Callithrix jacchus: one gene and its partner. The protein of the gene in region 2 interacts with the protein of the main gene of each other region in a biochemical or structural test. Links are inferred from orthologs where the notes say so. Each region holds a gene or a part of one and is shown on either strand. Other genes may lie near its edges. The genes, in order: NUP43 and NUP85.

Region 1 (9,801 bases), on a different chromosome or scaffold from region 2:
TGGTTGAGCTGCACCCCTGTCCGCCCGCGCGCCAACTCCCACCTTCCGGTTCTTCTCCCACTTCTAGGTCCCCGGAACCCCTGTCTCAGACGCGGTTACCCCATAGTTCAGAGCCGGTGCCAGTGTGCCTGAGCCTCGTATCTCGTTGCGTTTTAAACTCACCATACCATGTTTCTGAAATGTTTTCGAGCAGGGTTTCCTGACGGCAGGACAAGTTTTATTTTCAGAGTTGACGTTTATGTCATCTCAAGACAAAACTTTTTGTTTTACAGGAAAATTATGTTTCACTGTGGTCTATTGGAGATTTTGAAAACTTGGACTCTGATGGAGGGTTTGAAGGAGACCATCAGTTATTGTGTGATATCAGACACCATGGTGATATAATGGATTTACAGGTAAATCTTTGTAGTATGCAAAAACTAAATTTGAAAATACTGAGTAATATATTTAAACAAGCAGAAGATCGTCTGGTTTACAGAAAACTGAGTGCCCTATAAGTTAAAATTTGCCCCACATCATTTAGCCATTTAGTGGCAGAAAAAGGACTGGGAAAGGGGATACAGATTTAATCATACTTTTTATTAATTGACCATCGGCTATGTGCTAAGTACCGTTTTGGGAGCTTTACAAAAGTTAATTTATTGTTGCATGCCAGTGAATCAAGTATCGTTATCTTTGTTTTACTAATGAGAAAATTGAGACTAGTATATCTTGAGCATGTTCTATGTGACAGATACTGTACAGGGGGTTTTACATCATTTTGTTTTTTGAATTCTCATAACAACTCCCTAAGTAGAGATTAGTACTCCCGTTTTAAAGATTTACCACGATTTAGAGAACTTAACTTGGCCAACGTCTCAAAACCAGTAGTGAGTGGTGGGGATGAAATTAAGTTTTCAAATCCTGATGTGGAGAGTCCCTGCATTTTATTCTCTAGAAAGCTACCTAGCCCTAGGAAAGATATTTTCTTTTTTAAAATTTTTATTCTTTTTTTGAAACTGAGTCTCACCTGTCAACCAGGCTGGAATGCAGTGGCTTGATCTTGGCTCACTGCAACCTCTGCTTTCCCACAAGCCCAACTCATTTTTGTATTATTGTAGAGACGGGGTCTCACCATGTTGCCCAAGCTGGTCTTGAACTCCTGAGCTCAAGCAAGCCGTCCGCCTAGGCCTCCCAAAATGTTGGGATTACAGGTGTGAGCCCAAATCAAATCAATTGTAAGTGAATGTGTTTAGGAAAAAAATATTGTTTATCCATGAAAATACTCTTATTTTTGATCACTACTAAAAAATAAAAATAAAAAAATACTCTTATTTGTATGGCAGTTTGGACTTTCAGCTCCATTAACACATTTTATTTATTTGCTTAGCACTCATAGACTTCACTTTTCAAAATTGTTAGAAGTTACTACTAATCAAGTTAAATAAAGAAATGGACTTCCTCCCTACTAATATTTCTGAATCTTCAACAAGCAGAAATTTTCTCTTTAGTTTTTTGACCAGGAAAGAATTGTCACTGCTTCATCAACGGGATGTGTAACAGTTTTCCTTCACCATCCAAATAACCAGGTAAAGAACTTTAGTTCGAAAAGTGAATTTTTTATGATAGAATATTGTTTTCTAGGGAAAGAAAAAGAAAAAAATAATAATAACAAAATAGAAAAGTGAATTTTTTTTTGAGACAGAGTTTTGCTCTTGTTGCCCAGACTGGAGTGCAATGGCATGATCTCGGCTTACCGCAATCTCCACCTCCTGGGTTCAAGCAATTTTCCTGCTTCAGCCTCCCCAGTAGCTGGGATTACAAGGATGCGCCACCGTGCCCAGCTAATTTTGTATTTTTAGTAGAGATGGGGTTTCTCCATGTTGGTTAGGCTGGTCTTGAACTCCCTACCTCAGGTGATCCACCTGTCCTGGGCTCCCAAGGTACTGGGACTACAGATGTGAGCCACCATGCCCAACCAAAGGTAGCCTTTCTAATAGACATGCCTAGTAAATATCAAGACCCAGTTCATGTTAAGTGTTTTTTTGAGTCATTTACAAAAACCGATAAGAGCCTTATGTTTTATTTTATTTATTTATTTATTTTTGAGACAGAGTCTCTCTCTGTCACCTAGGCTAGAGTGCAGTCGCGTGATGTCTGCTCACTGCAACCTGCGCCTCCTGGTTCAAGTTATTCTCCCACCTTAGCCTCCCAAGTACCTGGGATTACAGCCAGGTGCTACCACACCTGGCTAATTTTTGTATTTTTAGTAGAGATGGGATTTTGCCACATTAGCCAGGCTGTTCTCAAAGTCCTGACCTCAGGTGATCCACCTGCCTCCCAAAGTGGTGGGATTATAGACATAAGCCACAGTGGTGGGCCAGAGAATTATATTTTAGATATAGTTTCATTCCTTGGCCTCCCAAAGTGCTGGGTTTACAGGCATGAGCCACTGTGCCCACCCTCAGTATACAGAACTTTGATAGAAGTAGTTTTTAGATTTCATTACTCTAAAGGAAAAAAGAGAGATTTATTCTTCTAGAAGGGTGTGAATCAGAATTTAAAGATAGTCTTGTTGGCAAAAAGTGCTAGTTCCTTAAACTTTCTTTAATAGTATCCTCATTTCTGATGCCTAGACTCTGTCAGTCAACCAGCAATGGACTACAGCTCACTACCACACAGGCCCCAGCAGTCCTTCCTATAGCAGTGCACCATGTACAGGTATTGTGTGTAACAACCCAGAAATTGTTACAGTTGGAGAGGATGGTCGAATAAATCTCTTCAGAGCTGATCACAAGGAAGCTGTAAGAACCATAGGTAAGAAAAATCCCAGCCTGGCCAACATGGTGAAACCATCTCTACTAAAAATATGAAAGTTAGCTGGGTGTGGTAGTATGTACATGCCTGTAATCCCAGGTACTCAGAAGGCCAAGGCAGGAGAATTGTTTGAACCCGAGAGGCTGAGGTTGCAGTGAGCTGAGATGGCACTGCCATATTCCTACCTGGGCAACAGAAGGAGACTCCATCTCAAAAAAAGAAAAATCATTTTATTTCTTTCATCTCTCACAGAGTAATTGAGTACTTACGATATACTAAGTAAACACAGCCAGGTAGGGGTGGATCACGAGGTCAAGAGATCCAGACCATCCTGGCCACATGGTGAAAGCCTGTCTCTACCAACAATACAAACTTAGCTGGGCATGGTGGTGCGCACCTGTAGTCTCAGCTACTGGGGAGGCTGAGGCAGGAGAATTGCTTGAACCCAGGAGGCGGAGGTTGCAGTGGACTGAGATCACACCACTGCACTCCAGTCTGGCAACAGAGCAAGACTCTGTTTCAGAAGTAAACACAATGTTAAATGGTTGAGGGATATAAAAATACATGGACAGGCACAGTGGCTCATGCCTATAATCCCAGCACTTCAGGAGGTCAAGGCAAGCAGATCATTTGAGGCCACGAGTTTGAGACTAGCCTGGCCAACATGGCGAAATCCTGTCTACTAAAAATATAAAAATTAACTGGCAATGGTGGCACACGCGTATAGTCCCAACTGCTTGGAAGGCTGAGGCATGAGAATTGCTTGAACCTAGGAGGCTGAGGCTTTAGTGAGCCAGTATCATACTATTGCACTCCTGCCTGCCTGGGTGACAGCAAGACTCTGTCTCAAAAATATATATATAAATGTGTGCGCGCGCGCGCACACACACACACACACACACACACACACACACACGACAGGATGCTTTTGTCAAGACAGTATATTGATGAGGCCAGTACAAATGACTGACTAGAGAAGACAGAAACCTTTTTTTTCCTTTGGCCAGAGGGGATTATCAGATAAAGCATCTGGGAGTAGGTAGTAATAGTTTTTTCTAGGTTCTAGACCATAAGTAATACTAAAAGATGGCATGCTAGACAAAGGGAATAGGCCAGAGACAGGATAAAGACCTTCAGAGAATGACAAAAAGTATAGTTTGACCCAACTTTAGATATTTATGCAGGAGAGATGAAAGATGAAGCAAGAGAAGGGTAAACAGGCCAGATTGCAAGGAGTCTATAATGCAAAATCACAGAGATTACATCTTGTAGGTGGAAAACTCAGTGTATTGGTTCTCAACTATGCTTCAATAAGACTTGCCTGAGGAAGTTTTTTTGAACTGTCCACCACTCTAGACCTCTTGAATCAGAATCGCTAGGAATTGAGCCCATACGTCCATCTTTTTGTTTTGTTTTATTTATTTATTTACTTTTTAGATGGAGTCTCACTCTGTCATCAGGCTGGAGTGCAGTGGCATGATGGCTCACTGCCACCTCCGTCTCACAGGTTCAAGCAGTTCTCCTGCCTGAGCCTCCTGAGTAGCTGGGATTACAGTCACCCACCATCACTCCCAGCTAATTTTTGTATTTTTGGTAGAGATGGTCTTTCACCATGTTGGCCAGGATGGTTTCGATCTCTTGACCATGTAATCTGCCCACTGTGGCCTCCCAAAGTGCTGGGATTACAGGTGTGAGCCACCGTGCTCGGCTTTCTGTGTTGTTTATTATGGTTTTCAGTTCTGAGTTAAGTTGCATTGCTTTTTTTTTTTTTTTTTTTTTGTGACAGGGTCTTGCTTTGTCACCCAGGCTGGAGTGCAGTGGCATGATCCAAGCTCACTGCAATTTCTGCCTCCCAGGTTCAAGCAATCCTTCTGCCTCAGCCTCCCAAGGATCTGGGACCACAGATGCATACCACCATGCCTGGCTAATTTTTGTAGAAATGAGGTTTTACCATGCTGTCCAGGCTGGTCTCCAACTCCTGGGTTCAAGTGAATTGCCCGCCTCGGCCTCCCAAAATGTTAGGATTACAGGTGTGAGCCACTGCACTGGGCAACATCACTTATTTGTTAATTAATGACCGTTGTCTGGTGGCAGTGTAGAGGAGTGGCACAAACTAAAGTCTATAAAGTATATGTTAAATTATGAGGCATAAGTTCTAAACACCAGGAAATCAACAGAAGGACCATTATAACAATCAGGAATGACTTCATAGAGAGGGCGAGAGTTGATGAGGATGAAAATAAGTAGATTTGGGATGAGTCTGCAGAATAATACAAGATTGGCATGAGCTCTGTAGAAAGCACAGGGGTTTGGCCCAATAGAAGGGAAGTTCTAGATCAGGAACTAGTGGGAAATAAGATTGGGTTTAGGGGAGCTTGAACAACTCTCTCAGAAATGCAGGGTAACAATCTTTTTCTTTTTCTTTGAGACGAAGTTTCGCTCTTGTTACCCCAGGCTGGAGTGCAATGGCGCGATCTCGGCTCATCGCAACCTCTGCCTCCTAGGTTCAGGCAATTCTTTCTCAGCCTCCTGAGTAGCTGGGATTATAGGCACGTGCCACCATGCCCAGCTAATTTTTTTTGTATTTTTAGTACAGACAGGGTTTCACCATGTTGACCAGGATGATCTCGATCTCTTGACCCCGTGATCCACCCGCCTTGGCCTCCCAAAGTGCTGGGAACAATCTTAAGAGTTAAAAAAGAATGTATGAAAACTCAGCCTTCCATTTCTAACACAGTTCAAGGCTGGGCCCAGTGCCTCACACCTGTAAATCCAGCACTTCGGGAGACCGAGGTGGGTGGATCACCTGAGCTTAGGAGTTCGAGACCAGCCTGGCCAATGTGGTGAAACCCTGTCTCTACTAAAAATACAAAAATTAGCCGGGCGTTGTGGTGTGTGCCTGTAATCCCAGCTACTAGGGAAGCTGAGGCAAGCAAATCACTTGAACCTGGGAGATAGAGGTTGCAGTGAGCCGAGACCATACCAGTGCCCTCTAGCCTGGGTGACATGGCAATATCCATCTTAAAAAAAATAAAAAGAAAAAGAAAACAGTTCAGATGTCCTGTAATATTTTTCCATCCAAAGAGAATTCATTTAAACATGTACATTACTGTGTACTTTTCTATAGAAATTTAAATTATTAGTTACTGGAAATTGTATTTGTAATATAGCAATCCATGAAAGGAGTGTGATTTAAGATTTTCTTGGAAAAAAGGAACTCATTAACACATATTACCATTTTTAAAAATTTTTAGACAATGCAGATAGTAGTACACTCCATGCTGTAACCTTTCTTCGAACTCCTGAGATTCTTACTGTGAATTCAATTGGACAGTTGAAAATATGGGATTTCAGACAACAAGGAAATGAGCCTTCTCAGATATTGTCACTGTAAGTATTGATTTGTAATTTCAGTAATGTAATCCAAAATTAATGTGTTTGGTTGTTTATAGCAATTATCTTTAAGCTATGTTAATTACATTTTAAGAGGGTGATCCCTGATTAAATTTGGTAGAGAAAGCATAACTTGAATAACTTGATGGGGTTGACACTACTTTCATTTAGCAATTATTTGTTATAGTGATTCAGAACCTTTACTCTTTGAAGTTTGTATTATTTCGTGGAGAACTTATTTCTGCTCTTTCAATGATTATTTAATGGATAAAATATATTCCAGATATAATGATTAGGGGAAAAATATAATTCCAGATATTTTTTATGAGCAGAAATCCCCCCTTTTAGGTATACAACCTTTTCTCATACGAAAATAGAATGTGTCACACTGAAAAAATAGTTATAAAAACTAAGCATTTAATAAGATGATAAATAGGCTGGGTGCAGTGGCTCACGCCTATAATCCCAGCACTTTGGGAGGCCGAGGCGGGTGGATCACGAGGTCAAGAGATCGAGACCATCCTGGTCAACAAGGTGAAACCCCATCTCTACTAAAAATACAAAAATTAGCTGGGCATGGTGGTGCGCACCTGTAGTCCCAGCTACTCGGGAGGCTGAGGCAGGAGAATTGCTTGAACCCAGAAGGCGGAGGTTGCGGTGAGCCAAGATCGTGCCATTGCACTCCAGTCTGGGTAACCACAGCGAAACTCCATATAAAAAAAAAAAATAAGATGATAAATAATATTTAGTACAGTTGATGTATGATTTTTTAAGAAATCTAAGAAGTGGAAATATGATTTATACATCTTATCATCAGATTATCCTTCATTCTGTGTCTCCATATTGAAGTGAGAATGAATAATTGTGGCCTTGAATTATTTCAAAATTGTACTATTTGGAAATATATCTAATTTAGTTCATTTTTTGGCATCATTAAGATTTAGCCAGGCCCGGCATGGTGGTTCACACCTGTAATCCCAGCACTTTTTGAGGCCAAGGCCGGCGGATCACTTGAGGTCAGGAGTTCGAGACCAGCCTGGCCAACATGGTAAAACCCCGTCTCTTCTAAAAATACAAAAATTAGCCAGGCATGGTGGCATGTGCCTGTAATCTCACCTACTTGGGAGGCTGAGGCAGGAGAATCACTTGAACCAGGGAGGCAGAGTTTGCAGTGAGCCAAGATCGAACTATTGCACTCCAGCCTGGGCAAAAAGAATGAAACTCTGTCTCAAATTTTAAAAAAAGATTCAACCAGTAGCTCCAGCCACTAAGTTGTTGTTTAGTTACCATATGAAACATGTTTCTTGGCTGAGCATGGTGACTCACGCCTGTAATCCCAACACTTTGGGAGGATCACCTGCAGTGAGAAGTTTGAGATCAGCTGGGGCAACATAGCAAGACCCTCGTCTCTACAAAAACCCACCATGCCTGGCTAGTTTTTATATTTTTAGTAGAGATAGGGTTTCGCCATGTTGGCCAGATTGGTTTTGAACTCCTGACCTCAAGTGATCCACCTGCCTTGGCCTCAAAAAGTGCTGGGATTTCAGGCATGAGCCACTAAACCTACCTGGTCAAGACCCTTTCTCTTAAAAAAGAAAAATCCAGGCTGGGCACAGTGTCCATGTTGGTCATCCCAGCACTTTGGGAGGCCAAGGTGGCTAGGTTGCTTGAGGCTGGGAGTTCAAGATCAACCTGGGCAACATGGAGAAACCCCATCTCTGCAAAACTACAAAAAGTTAATCAGGCGTGATGGTGCACACATGTAATCCCAGCTACTCAGGAGGAGGCCGACGTGGGAGGATCACCTGAGCCCAGGGAGTTTGATCCTGCAATGAGCCACGATCACAGTGCCTCAATCCAGCTTGGGTAGCAGAGTGAGACCCTGTCTCGAAAATGACAACAACAACAAAAAAAACCATGTTTCTTGTGTTACACAAAGATAAATTATACTTTATCTGATTTTGATGTCAATGTTATCTCCCACAAAAGAACTGGTGACCGAGTGCCACTCCACTGCGTTGATAGACATCCCAACCAACAGCATGTTGTAGCTACTGGTGGCCAAGATGGAATGTTGAGTATTTGGGATGTTAGACAAGGTACTATGCCTGTATCTCTGCTGAAGGCTCATGAAGCTGAAAGTAAGTATTGTGGAGATACAGAAAGTTTTTATTGGGTGAGTTATATGACATATAATAAGCACCTTTTCATAATGACACACGTGGATCATTTTACATGATAGCTTTTAATTTAAATAATTATCTAATCTCTTTTTACTTGACATTTAAGTTGTTTAACATGTTTCTTTTTTTTTTTGAGACAGAGTTTCACTCTTGTCCATGCTGGAGTGTAATGGCACCATCTCTGCTCACCACAGCCTCAGCTTCCCAGGTTCAAGCAGTTCTCCTGCCTCAGCCTCCCCAAGTAGGTGGGATTTCAGGCATGTGCCATCATACCCGGCTAATTTTGAATTTTTAATAGAGATGGGTTTTCTCCATATTGGTCAGGCTGGTCTCAAACCCCTGACCTCAGATGATCTGCTCGCCTCAACCTCCCAAAGTGCTGGGATTACAGGCATTAGCCATGTGCCTGGCTTTTTTTTTTTTTTTTTAAGGGACGGTCTGAATCTGTTGCCCAGGCTGGAGTGCAGTAGTGCAGTCACTGCTCACTACACCCTTGACCTACAGGGCTCAGGTGATCCCCCCATATCAGCCTCCCAAGTAGATAGGACTATAGGTATGTGCCACCATGCCTAACTGATTTTTTTTGTTGTTTTTTTGTGGATATGGGGTTTTGCTTTATTGCCCAGTCTGGTTTCAAACAAATGATCCTCAGGAAGTGCTGAGATTACAGGTGTAAGCTATGAGCCACTAAACCAGCCACAGGCTTCAGTCTTATATCCAAAACTGTACTGAGAATCCTTAGATATTTATGTACCCTTGTTTTTTGGAAGACAGGGTCTCCCTTTGTCACCCAGGCCGGAGTATAGTAGTGGTGTGATCATAGCTCATTGCAGCCTTAAACTCCTTGACTTATACGATCCTTCCAATGTACTAGGACTACAGGTATGAGCCATTATGCCCAGCCTTATGTACTTCTTGTCTTTTTTTTTGAGACAGAGTCTTGGTCTGTCACACAGGCTAGAGTGCAGTGGTGCAATCTCAGCTCACTGCAACCTCCACCTCCTGGTTCAAGCAATTCTCCTGTCTCAGCCTCCCAAGCAGCTGGGGCTACAGGTGTATGCCACCGTAGGCCTAGCTAATTTTTTGTATTTTTGGTAGAGACGGGGTTTCTACCATATTGGTCAGGCTGGTCTCGAACTCCTGACCTTGTGATCCACCTGCTTCAGCCTCCCAAAGTTCTGGGATCACAGGCGTGAGCCACTGCACCCGGCCTACTTATTTTCTTAGGATCATTTTTTAGAAGTAGAGTTGATAGGTCAAACATTTTGCATAATCCATTGACAAGAGGATTCTACACGAAAATAATACCAGTTTAAGCCAGGCACATTGACACATACCTGTAGTTCTAGCTACTCAGGAGCCTGAGGCGGGAAGATTGCTTGAGCCCAAGAGTTTGAGGTCAGCTTAGGCAACAACCTCTTTGAAAAGC
Region 2 (9,901 bases):
AGTAACAAACCTACATTAACTGCAACTTAAGACCCCATGTCTCATTTTGTCTAGTTAGCTTTGAAATGACCCCTATTTCCAACTTTTGGTTTTGTCATCGACTGCTTTACAATCTGATGGCTCTAACTGAAACTTTAGGCATCTCAACTTTCTAAAAAGCAAAAACTCAAGGTCGGGTAACTTACACTTTACTGGGACCTAGAGGTTACCAAGAACTAAGAGAGAGAATTTTGAAAGCCTATAATGGCTAGATATCTCACCTAGTTAGAAAGGTCAGGAAAGGCTTTCCTGAGAAAAGAGCTTGCTAGAACTTGCATTTGTACAATGACCAGGAGACTGTGAAGAAAAAAACAGCATTTGGAGATCCCAAACTTACTATGCTAAAGGGAAAGTTAAGCTAGGGAATTGTATCACACAATATTGCCTTCCTTTTGTTCCTAGAGGGCTATTATTTCAAACCCTATGTCACAGCTTCATCCACAAGCCAGTTTCCCACTTTATAAGGCCACGTATCTCCCCAGATAGCCTCCCTAAGAAATTGCTCACAAGGAAATTCCTTGTGAGCCTTAACATTTTTCAGGAGAAACCTCCTCCTATAAACTAGTCCTAAAAATGAGGGCTGTTGATTCTCACCCTGACAACGTCAGCTACCAGCTTATCTTCACAAGTACAAGACCAGAAATCAACCAGATGCGGTGGCTCACACCTGTAATCCCAGCACTTTGGGAGGCTGAGATAGGCAGATCACAAAGTCAGGAGTTAAAGACCAGCCTGGTCAACATGGTGAAACCCTGTCTCAACTAAAAAAAAAAAAAAAAAAAAAAAAAAAAATTAGCTGGGCATGGTGCCACACACCTGTAATCCCAGCTACTCAGGAGGCTGAGGCAGAATTGCTTGAACAGCAGAGGTGGCAGAGAGCTGAGATCGCACCAATGCACTCCAGCCTAGGCAAGAGAGCAAGACTGTCCCAATAAAAAAAGAAAAGATAAGAAATCATCCCTCTACCTACCTAAGATGAATGCATAAATGTTTTGTCTACTCCCTCTTTTCACAGGTAAAATGCAAATTTACTGAGGCTAATCAGAGACTCACAAGAATGTAACCATTTGCCTCCTCATTGCCTAGCCTCCCATATTTTCCCCCTCCTGCTAGCTCCTTCCTCTTTTTTTTTTTTTTTTTTTTTTTTTTTAAGAGATGGGGTTTCACCATGTTAGCCAGGCTGGTCTTGAACTCCTGACCTCATGATCCACCCATCTCGGCCTCCCAAAGTGCTGGGATTACAGGCATGAGTCATCGCGCCCAGCTGCTCCTTCCTCTTTAAGGAATGATGTTCCCAAACCTATCTTTGGCAAAAGCACAAGTCACACATTCTCCTGTGACCTGTGTTTTTTCCTGGTTGGATTCTCAACCTTAGCTAAATAAACCTTTACTGATTGAGGCTTGCCTCAGTCACTTTTCAGTTAACAAAAAAAAGAGGGAAGAGAAGAGCATTCCAAGTAGCGAAAACAGTAGGTATCTCCTACATAAAGCCCATGAATTTCTGTATACACATCACAGATTATCCATATTTGACATGCTCTCTTCAAAGTTCAAATGGAATTGAATGCACAGCGATAAAACGGGAATAGTCTGTAAGGTCTTTTAGGCTGACTGACAGCGCCATGGATGCCATGTTAACCTCTGTGACTCCAGATGAGTTCCTGGAAAATCTGAAATAACTGGAAAACCATGAAAAGAAGAAGAAATGATCAACCCCTTTGAGACATTCTGTATTGTTCCTTATTCCTGCCCCAACTGATAAGGCCATTGGATTTTGTAACCAACCTTGGTCAGCCTGGTCTAGGTCAACCTGGACTCCGCACTCTACAACCTCCTCGCAGCTTGCAAACTTAAGACCCCCATCTCAGCTTGCAAAAACCCCGCCCTAAACTGTAACTTCTGTAACTTTCCACTGCTGACCCCAAACCTATAAAACCAACTCCTCTCCCACAGCCCTTAACTGACTCTTTTCGGACTCAGCCTGCCCACACCCAGGTGAATAAATAGCCATGCTGCTCACACACTAAGGCTGTTTTGGGGGGCGGGGTCCCTTCATTCAGAGTGCACATTTTAACATTTGGTGCCAGAAACCTGGGATGGGGGAACTACTACAGGAGACCAAACCCCGGTCCTGTTCTCCTTGGGCTCCCTCCATGGAGAGACCTACCTATGACCTAGATTCATCAGACCAGCCCACAGATCTACTCACCATCCTCTCAGCTCAGGTAAGTGGTTTGCCTCAACTTTTCTCTTTAGCCCTTCATGCTACCTGTCAAGCTTTGTCTCCCCTCAGTTTCATTTTTCTCTCCCTTTCATCAGAGACAAGAAAGACAGGACTTTCTGTGAGGTTCATGACCAGAAAAAAATCCTACGTAGGTCACGGAACTGGGAAGACAGTCTTCCATCAGTGACTGATCATTGCGGAGACATCTGCTCTGGTCACTCACTCACACTCACAGGTGATAGATCAATACGGGGGACGCCCCCTTTGACCGATTCACCCCAGGTTCAGACCAAGATTTAGTCTGGGATGTCTGCTAAACTGCTTGGTCATGCATTCACTTTCCTTGTCTCCACCGCTCGTCTTTTTTGTTGTTTTTTTTTTTTAATTTTTAATTTTTTATTTTTTCCGCCGCTCTTTTCTTTTTTAGACAGAGTTTCGCTCTTGTTACCCAGGCTGGAGTGCAATGGTGCGATCTCGGCTCACCACAACCTCCACCTCCTGAGGCAATTCTCCTGCCTCAGCCTCCTGAGTAGCTGGGATTACAGGCACGCACCACCATGCCCAGCTTATTTTTTGTTTTTAGTAGAGATGGGGTTTCAGCATGTTGACCAGGATGGTCTCAATCTCTTGACCTCGTGATCCACCTGCCTCGGCCTCCCAAAGCGCTGGGATTACAGGCATGAGCCACCGCGCCGAGCCCCGCTCTTCTTAAACTATGGGCAAACTCCTACCCTCCATTCCTCCCTCCTCTCCCTTAGCCTACGTTCTAAAAAACCTCAAACTTCTCCGGCTATCACCTGACCTAAAACCTAAGCATCTTATTTTCTTCTGCAATACTGCTTGACCATGATATAAATTGGACAATGGCTCTAAATGTCCATTGTCCATTTAGAAAATGGTACCTTCAATTTCTCTATCCTACAGGATCTAGATAACTTTCGTAGTAAAATGGGCAAATTCTCTACGTCCAGGCATTTTTTTTTACACACCAATCTCTCCCTAATCTCTGTTCTCAATGCAACCCATCCCAAATTTTCCTTCTCTCCCTTCCATCTGCCCCTCCTGCCTCTGCCAGCAACCTAGAATTCTCCTTGTCCATCGACCCTTCCGACCTTTCTCCTCCCTGCCTGTCGGAACCAGGCCCTAATCCAGGACCTAAGCCCAACCCCTAGAGCTTTCCTCCTCTTCCTCTGCCCACAACCCATTTCCTTATGCCCCTCCTGTCACCTCGCCACCTCATAAGTGCCCCAGCTTGCAGTTTAGTCCTGTGGCTACCTCCTCCACCCCTGTCTGACAATTCCCTCTTCGAGAGGTGGCTGGAGCCAAAGGCATAGTTAGGGTGCAGGTTCCTTTCTCTTTATCCGACCTTTCCCAAATCAGCCAATGGTTAGGCTCTTTTACATCAGATCCTCCAATACTTAACCCAGGCCTGTAATCTCGCCTGGAGTGACTTAAATGTCATCCTTACTTCTACTCTCACCCCTGAAGAATGCTTGATATGCATTTTATCACCCATTGAGTCCCTAACATTACAAAAAGCCACAGAAATTAGAATCTGGCCCTCAAACCCCACAACAGGAATTAATTGACCTCACCTTTAAGGTGTTAAATAATAGGGAAAAAGCTACCCAGGGGCAGCGTATTTCGGAATTACAAATGCTTGCCTCCTCTGTAAGATAGACCACAGCTACTTCTTCTTCGGCTCACAGAAGTTTCAGACCACCAAACCCACAGCGTCCAGACTTCTCTTCAGGACCTCCTTCCCCAAAGCCTTGCTTCAAATGCCGAGAACCTGGCCACTGAGCCAAGGAATGCCTGCAGCCCGGATTTTTTTTTTTTTTTTTTTGAGACAGAGTCTTACTCTGTCGCCAGTCTGGAGTGCAGTGGCGGGATCTCGACTCACTGCAGCCTCCGCCTCCTGGGTTCAAGCAATTCTCTTGCCTCAGCCACCCAAGCAGCTGGGACTACAGGCGCGCGCCACCATGCCCAGCTAATTTTTGTATTTAAGTAGAGACGGAGTTTCAACATGTTGGCTAGGCTGGTCTGGATCTCTTGACCTCGTGATCCGCCCGCCTCAGCCTCCCAACCGGGATTCTTCCTAAGCCATGTCCTGTCTGTGTGGGACCCCAATGGAGGTAGGACTGCCAGACTCAAACTGCTGTCTTTAAGTCTCCAGGAGCCCAACCCGGGAGCCCTCAGGCTGACTCTTTCCCTGATCTCCTTGGCTTGGTGGCTGAAGACTGATGCTGCCTGAACATCTCAGAGGCTCCCTGGAACATCACAAACACTGCGCTTCGAGTAACTGGTGGAGGTCAAGTCCATCCCCTTCTTAATCAACCCGGAGCCACACACTCCACACTGCCTTCTTTTCAAGGACCTGTCTCCTTGGCCTCCATAACTGTTGTGGGAATTGACGGCAAGGTCTCCAGGCCTCTCAAAACTCCCCAAGTCTGGTGTCAATTAGGCCAGCACCACTTTCCATATTCTTTCCTAATCAGTCCCACTTGTCCAATTCCTCTGTTAGGCCAAGATATCCTAGCAAAATTGTCTGCCTCCTTAACTATTCCTGGGCTATAGCCACACCTCACTGGCGCCCTCCTCCCCGAACCCATACCTCCTGAATAGCTCCTCTTATGTCCCCCTACCTTAACCCTAGGGTGAGGGACACCGCCTCCCCATCCGTGGCTACAAGTCACTCTAACTTTCCACTGCCCACCCCAAACCTATAAAACCAACTCCTATCTCACCGCCCTTCGCTGACTCTTTTCGGATTCAGCCCGCCCACACCCAGGTGAATAAACAGCCATGTTGCTCACACAAAGTCTGGGTGTATCTTCATTCAAAGCGCACGTTTTAACAGTCTCCCCAGAGAATAAATACGTTCAATAAACCTTAGACCACACAGGCAGAAGCTCAATGTACCGCTTGCAAAGCTTAACATAGCTAGAAGAAAAACATCAATACTTCTGCTCGGGCTGAACCCACTCTACTGCCCAAGAGGAAAAGCGAGGGAAATAGAAAGGCCAGGAAGACAAAGGAGGGAAAGGGATGGAGTGGGACCTTCGGGGCCAGGACTTGTGACTGGTGGCAGAAACCCTGCAACCACTGCAACTCGAGGGCGGGCACTTCGTTAACACTGCGACCTTCGGACAGTGGCAACTGAGTCAAGGGTAGGGGACGAGCGCCTAGCGGCCAGGAGGGAAGCAGACAAGCCTGAACTAACGAAGCAGACGCAGTTCTGGAGCCGCAAGGACGAACAAGCCTTTTCGGGGCGCCCTTACAGTGACTGTTGGCTCGCCATCAAGCTCCTCCATAGCGCTACACTCCAGCCTCCTGGAAGTCGCCCCACCGCCAATGCTTCCCGCTCAGGCCTCCAGCTCAGAGCTGGCTAAGAGAGGACCCCGCTGGGCGCCTCCTGCAGCGCCTGCAAGCCCAAACCCTCAATGCTGCGGGGGCCTCTCCTCTCAGCCACCCGTCTGCGGTCCTCTGAGCGGGTCCTTCCTTTCTGGCCTCGACAGCACGTCAGGGAGAAGAGCGCCGAGGGCAGACTGCATTCACGGTACCGCGCTCACAGGATCAGGCGGCACCGCGGACATCCCCGCGCCGGGCGGAGAAAAGGCCCCCGGAGACGGCGGGAGGGGCGGGAGGACCCTGGGGCCAGAGACGGTGCGACTGCGCGTGCGTGAGCTTTGCGGCGCTGGTGCGAACTCGGGCAGCGCTAGGGCCCCAGTGAGCGTACAACCTCTACCAACGCTGGGAGTCCTCGCCCCATCCTGGTCTCCACTTTAGTGTCGTCGCAGCTGCTTGTCCAAACCCCGACAGTCAAACGGATTTGTGCTGGAAAGCAATCGCCGCCACTCCCACACTAGAACACATACAAGAAGCACCCGGACAAAATCGACACCACTGAAGGCTGGGCGCGGTGGCTCACTCCTCTAATCTCCGCACTTTGGCAGGCCTAGGTGGGCGGATCACTGGAGGTCAGGGGTTCGAGACCAGCCTGGCCAACATGAGGAAACCTCGTCTCTACTTAGAATACAGGCCGGGCGCAGTGGCTCACGCCTGTACTCCTAGCACTTTGGGAGGGCTAGGCGGGCGGATTACGTGAGGTCCGGGACTTCGAGACCAGCCTGACCAACATGAAGAAACCCTGTCTCTACTAAAAATACAAATTAGCCGGGCATGGTGGCGCATGCCTGTAATCCCAGCTCCTCGGGAGGCTGAAACAGGAGAATCGCTTGAACCCGGGAGGTGGAGGTTGCAGTGAGCCAAGATCTCGACACTGCACTCCAGCCTGGGCAACACAGTGAGACTCCATCTCAAAAAAAACAAATCTTGGCTGGGCGCGGTGGCTCACGCCTATAATCCCAGCACTTTGTGAGGCCGAGACGAGTGGATCACAAGGTCAAGAGATCGAGACCATCCTGGTCAACATGGTGAAACCCCGTCTCTACTAAAAACACAAAAATTAGCTGGGCATGGTGGTGCACGCCTGTAGTCCCAGCTACTCGGGAGGCTGAGGCAGGAGAATTGCCTGAACCCAGGAGGCGGAGGTTGCGATGAGCCGAGATCCGCCACTGCACTCCAGCCTGGGTAACAAGAGCAAAACTCCGTCTCAAAAAAAAAAAAAACAAATCTTAGTGCTATACTTCCTTTATTATTTTTCTTTTAAGGCTGACAAAATGACATTTGAAGATAACAAAAGTACTTAGATTGTCTGACCAAGAGCTAGGTAACATTGAGGAAAATGTATTGGCAATATTCTTTGGTCTAAGACTGATATATACCAGTCATTTTACCCAATCATTCAAATAGGCTTATTAATAGAATAGTGAAAAAGGAAAACTACAGCTAACAGAGCTATCCTTGTTCTGTATTTTGACTACATATACTATATATGGACCTTTTCCTTCCTCAACCTCTCTATAGATTTCAAAGAATAAGGTTTTGATGAAATCGTTTATGTATCCTTTTTCAGATAATCCTAATGGAATACCATTGGAAAAACAATTCGTTTACAAATTATTTTTCTCTTTTCACTCTTCCATCAGTGGCTCCTTGCCCTCTCTTTTCCTCCTCCTCTCTCTAGAGTGGTTAACTCTCAAATTGTATTTAACTCTGGAAAAGTCTTCAATTATGCAGGCGATACTCCAACTTGAGGTATAATAGAAACTTATTAAGAGAAAAAGAGCAAAGTATTTCTAGAATTAAAAATCATCTAAAATAAAGCATACCTGTTGCACAAGAATCAAACCAGAAATCATTTTTAAGTCACTCCAAAGTCAGGCTTAGAATCCATCTCAGATCGGCTGGGCACAGCAGCTCATGCCAGTAATCCTGGCATTTTGGAAGGCCGAGGCCAGTGAATCACTCAAAGTGATGAGGAGATTGAGGCCAGCAAGCCTAACCAACATGGTGAAACTCTGTCTGTACTAAAAATACAAAATTAGCTAGATGTGGTGGCCCATGCCTGTAATCCCAGCTATTTGGGAGGCTAAGGGAGAAGAATTGCTTTAACCTTGGAGGCAAAGGGTGCAGTTGGCTGATTGCTCCACAGCACTCCAGCCTTGGTGACAAGAGTGAAGCTCTGTCTCTTTTTTTTGTTTGTTTTGTTTTGTTTTTTAGAAACTCTGTCTCAGGAAAGAAGAATCCATCTCAGATCAAGCCAGAGGCAATGTGCTGAAGATGTGGCCTAAGTTTTTTTTGTGTATGAGACATAGTCTTGCTCTGTCACCCAGGCTGGAGTGCAGTGGTATGATCATGGCTCACTGCAACCTCTGCTTCCCAGGTTCAACTGATTCTCCTGCCTCAGCCCCTTGAGTACTGGTTGGTATGTGTACTGGTTGGTGGCATGTGCCACCGCATCCAGCTAATTTTTATATTTTTAGTAGAGACCGGGGTTTCACCATATTGGCCAGGCTGGTCTTAAACTCCTGACCTTGTGATCCACACACCTCGCTCTCCCAAAGTGCTGGGATTACAGGCATGATCCATGGTTCCAGGCCTTTTGTTTTTTTTTTTTTTTTTACCTTGAGACAGAGTCTCACTCTGCTGCCCAGGCTGGAGTACAGTGAAGTGATGTTGGCTCACTGCAACCTCTACCTCCTGAGTTCAAGTGATTCTGCTGCCTCAGCCTCCCAAGTAGCTGGGGCTACAGGCACACACCACTAAGCCTGGCTACTTTTTTATTTTTTAGTAGAGACAGGGTTTCACCACATTGGTCAAGCTGGACTTGAACTCCTGACTTCAGGTGATCCACCCACCTCAGCCTCCCAAAGTGCTGGGATTACAGGTATGAGCCACCGCATCTGGGCTGGTAAAGTCTTAAGTATATACATTTTAATGCATCCTAATAAAACTAATGCTCCATAGTCTGCTAAAGAAATAAATACACAATCATTTCAAGAGACGTAATTATTTTGGAAAACAAGGTAGAAATCTATTATCAGCAGCCACACAAATATTTATGTACTTTTTTTTTTTTTGAGACGGAGTTTCGCTTTTGTTACCCAGGCTGCAGTGCGATGGTGCGATCTCGGCTCACCACGACCTCCACCTCCTGGGTTCAGGCAATTCTCCTGCCTCAGCCTCCTGAGTAGCTGGGATTACAGGCACGCACCACCGTGCCCAGCTAATTTTTTGTATTTTTAGTAGAGACAGGGTTTCAGCATGTTGACCAGGATGGTCTCAATCTCTTCACCTCGTGATCCACCCGCCTCGGCCTCCCAAAGTGCTGGGATTACAGGCTTGAGCCACCGTGCCGGGCCATATTTATGTACTTTGAACCAGGAAGTCCTCTTTTGAAAATTTATTTCAAATAATTTAAAATACACAAGCAGGGGAAATTTATGTGGTCAGAGTGGAAGCAGGTGTGAGAGGGTCCAGCAGAAGAGAACATGGCTGCCAAAGTGTTTGAGTCCATTGGCAAGTTTGGCCTGGCCTTAGCTCTTGCAGGAGGCGTGGTGAACTCGGCCTTATATAATGTGGATGCTGGGCACAGAGCTGTCATCTTTGACTGATTCCGTGGAGTACAGGACATTGTGGTAGGGGAAGGGACTCACTTTCTCATCCCATGGGTACAGAAACCAATTATCTTTGACTGCGGTTCTCGGCCACGTAATGTGCCAGTCATCACTGGTAGCAAAGATTTACAGAATGTCAACATCACACTGCGCATCCTCTTCCGGCCCGTTGCTAGCCAGCTGCCTCGCATCTTCACCAGCATCGGAGAGGACTATGATGAGCGCATGCTGCCGTCCATCACCACTGAGATCCTCAAGTCAGTGGTGGTTCGCTTTGATGCTGGAGAACTAATCACCCAGAGAGAGCTGTTCTCCAGGCAGGTGAGCGACGACCTTACGGAGCGAGCAGCCACCTTTGGGCTCATCCTGGACGATGTGTCCTTGACACATCTGACCTTCGGGAAGGAGTTCACAGAAGCAGTGGAAGCCAAAGGGGTGGTTCAGCAGGAAGCAGAGACAGCCAGATTTGTGGTGGAAAAGGCTGAGCAGCAGAAAAAGGCGGCTATCATCTCTGCTGAGGGCGACTCCAAGGCAGCTGAGCTGATTGCCAACTCACTGGCCACTGCAGGGGATGGCCTGATCGAGCTGCGCAAGCTGGAAGCTGTGGAGGACATCA

The links.
Region 1: the proteins of NUP85 (region 2) and NUP43 form a complex in vitro, tested with the Homo sapiens proteins (2 studies listed by BioGRID). The link is inferred for Callithrix jacchus from reciprocal best matches to the Homo sapiens genes NUP85 and NUP43.

What each region holds. Positions count from the first base shown.
Region 1 is NC_133505.1:156,517,213-156,527,013, reverse strand, and holds part of NUP43 (nucleoporin Nup43), read left to right. Parts: intron 1-272; coding exon 273-395; intron 396-1,490; coding exon 1,491-1,568; intron 1,569-2,615; coding exon 2,616-2,796; intron 2,797-6,050; coding exon 6,051-6,186; intron 6,187-8,178; coding exon 8,179-8,330; intron 8,331-8,508; coding exon 8,509-8,613; intron 8,614-9,801. UniProt on the Homo sapiens protein: Component of the Nup107-160 subcomplex of the nuclear pore complex (NPC). The Nup107-160 subcomplex is required for the assembly of a functional NPC.
Region 2 is NC_133506.1:131,119,105-131,129,005, reverse strand, and holds the start of NUP85 (nuclear pore complex protein Nup85), read right to left. Parts: upstream 5,654-9,901; 5' UTR 5,578-5,653; coding exon 5,545-5,577; intron 1-5,544. UniProt on the Homo sapiens protein: Essential component of the nuclear pore complex (NPC) that seems to be required for NPC assembly and maintenance. As part of the NPC Nup107-160 subcomplex plays a role in RNA export and in tethering NUP96/Nup98 and NUP153 to the nucleus.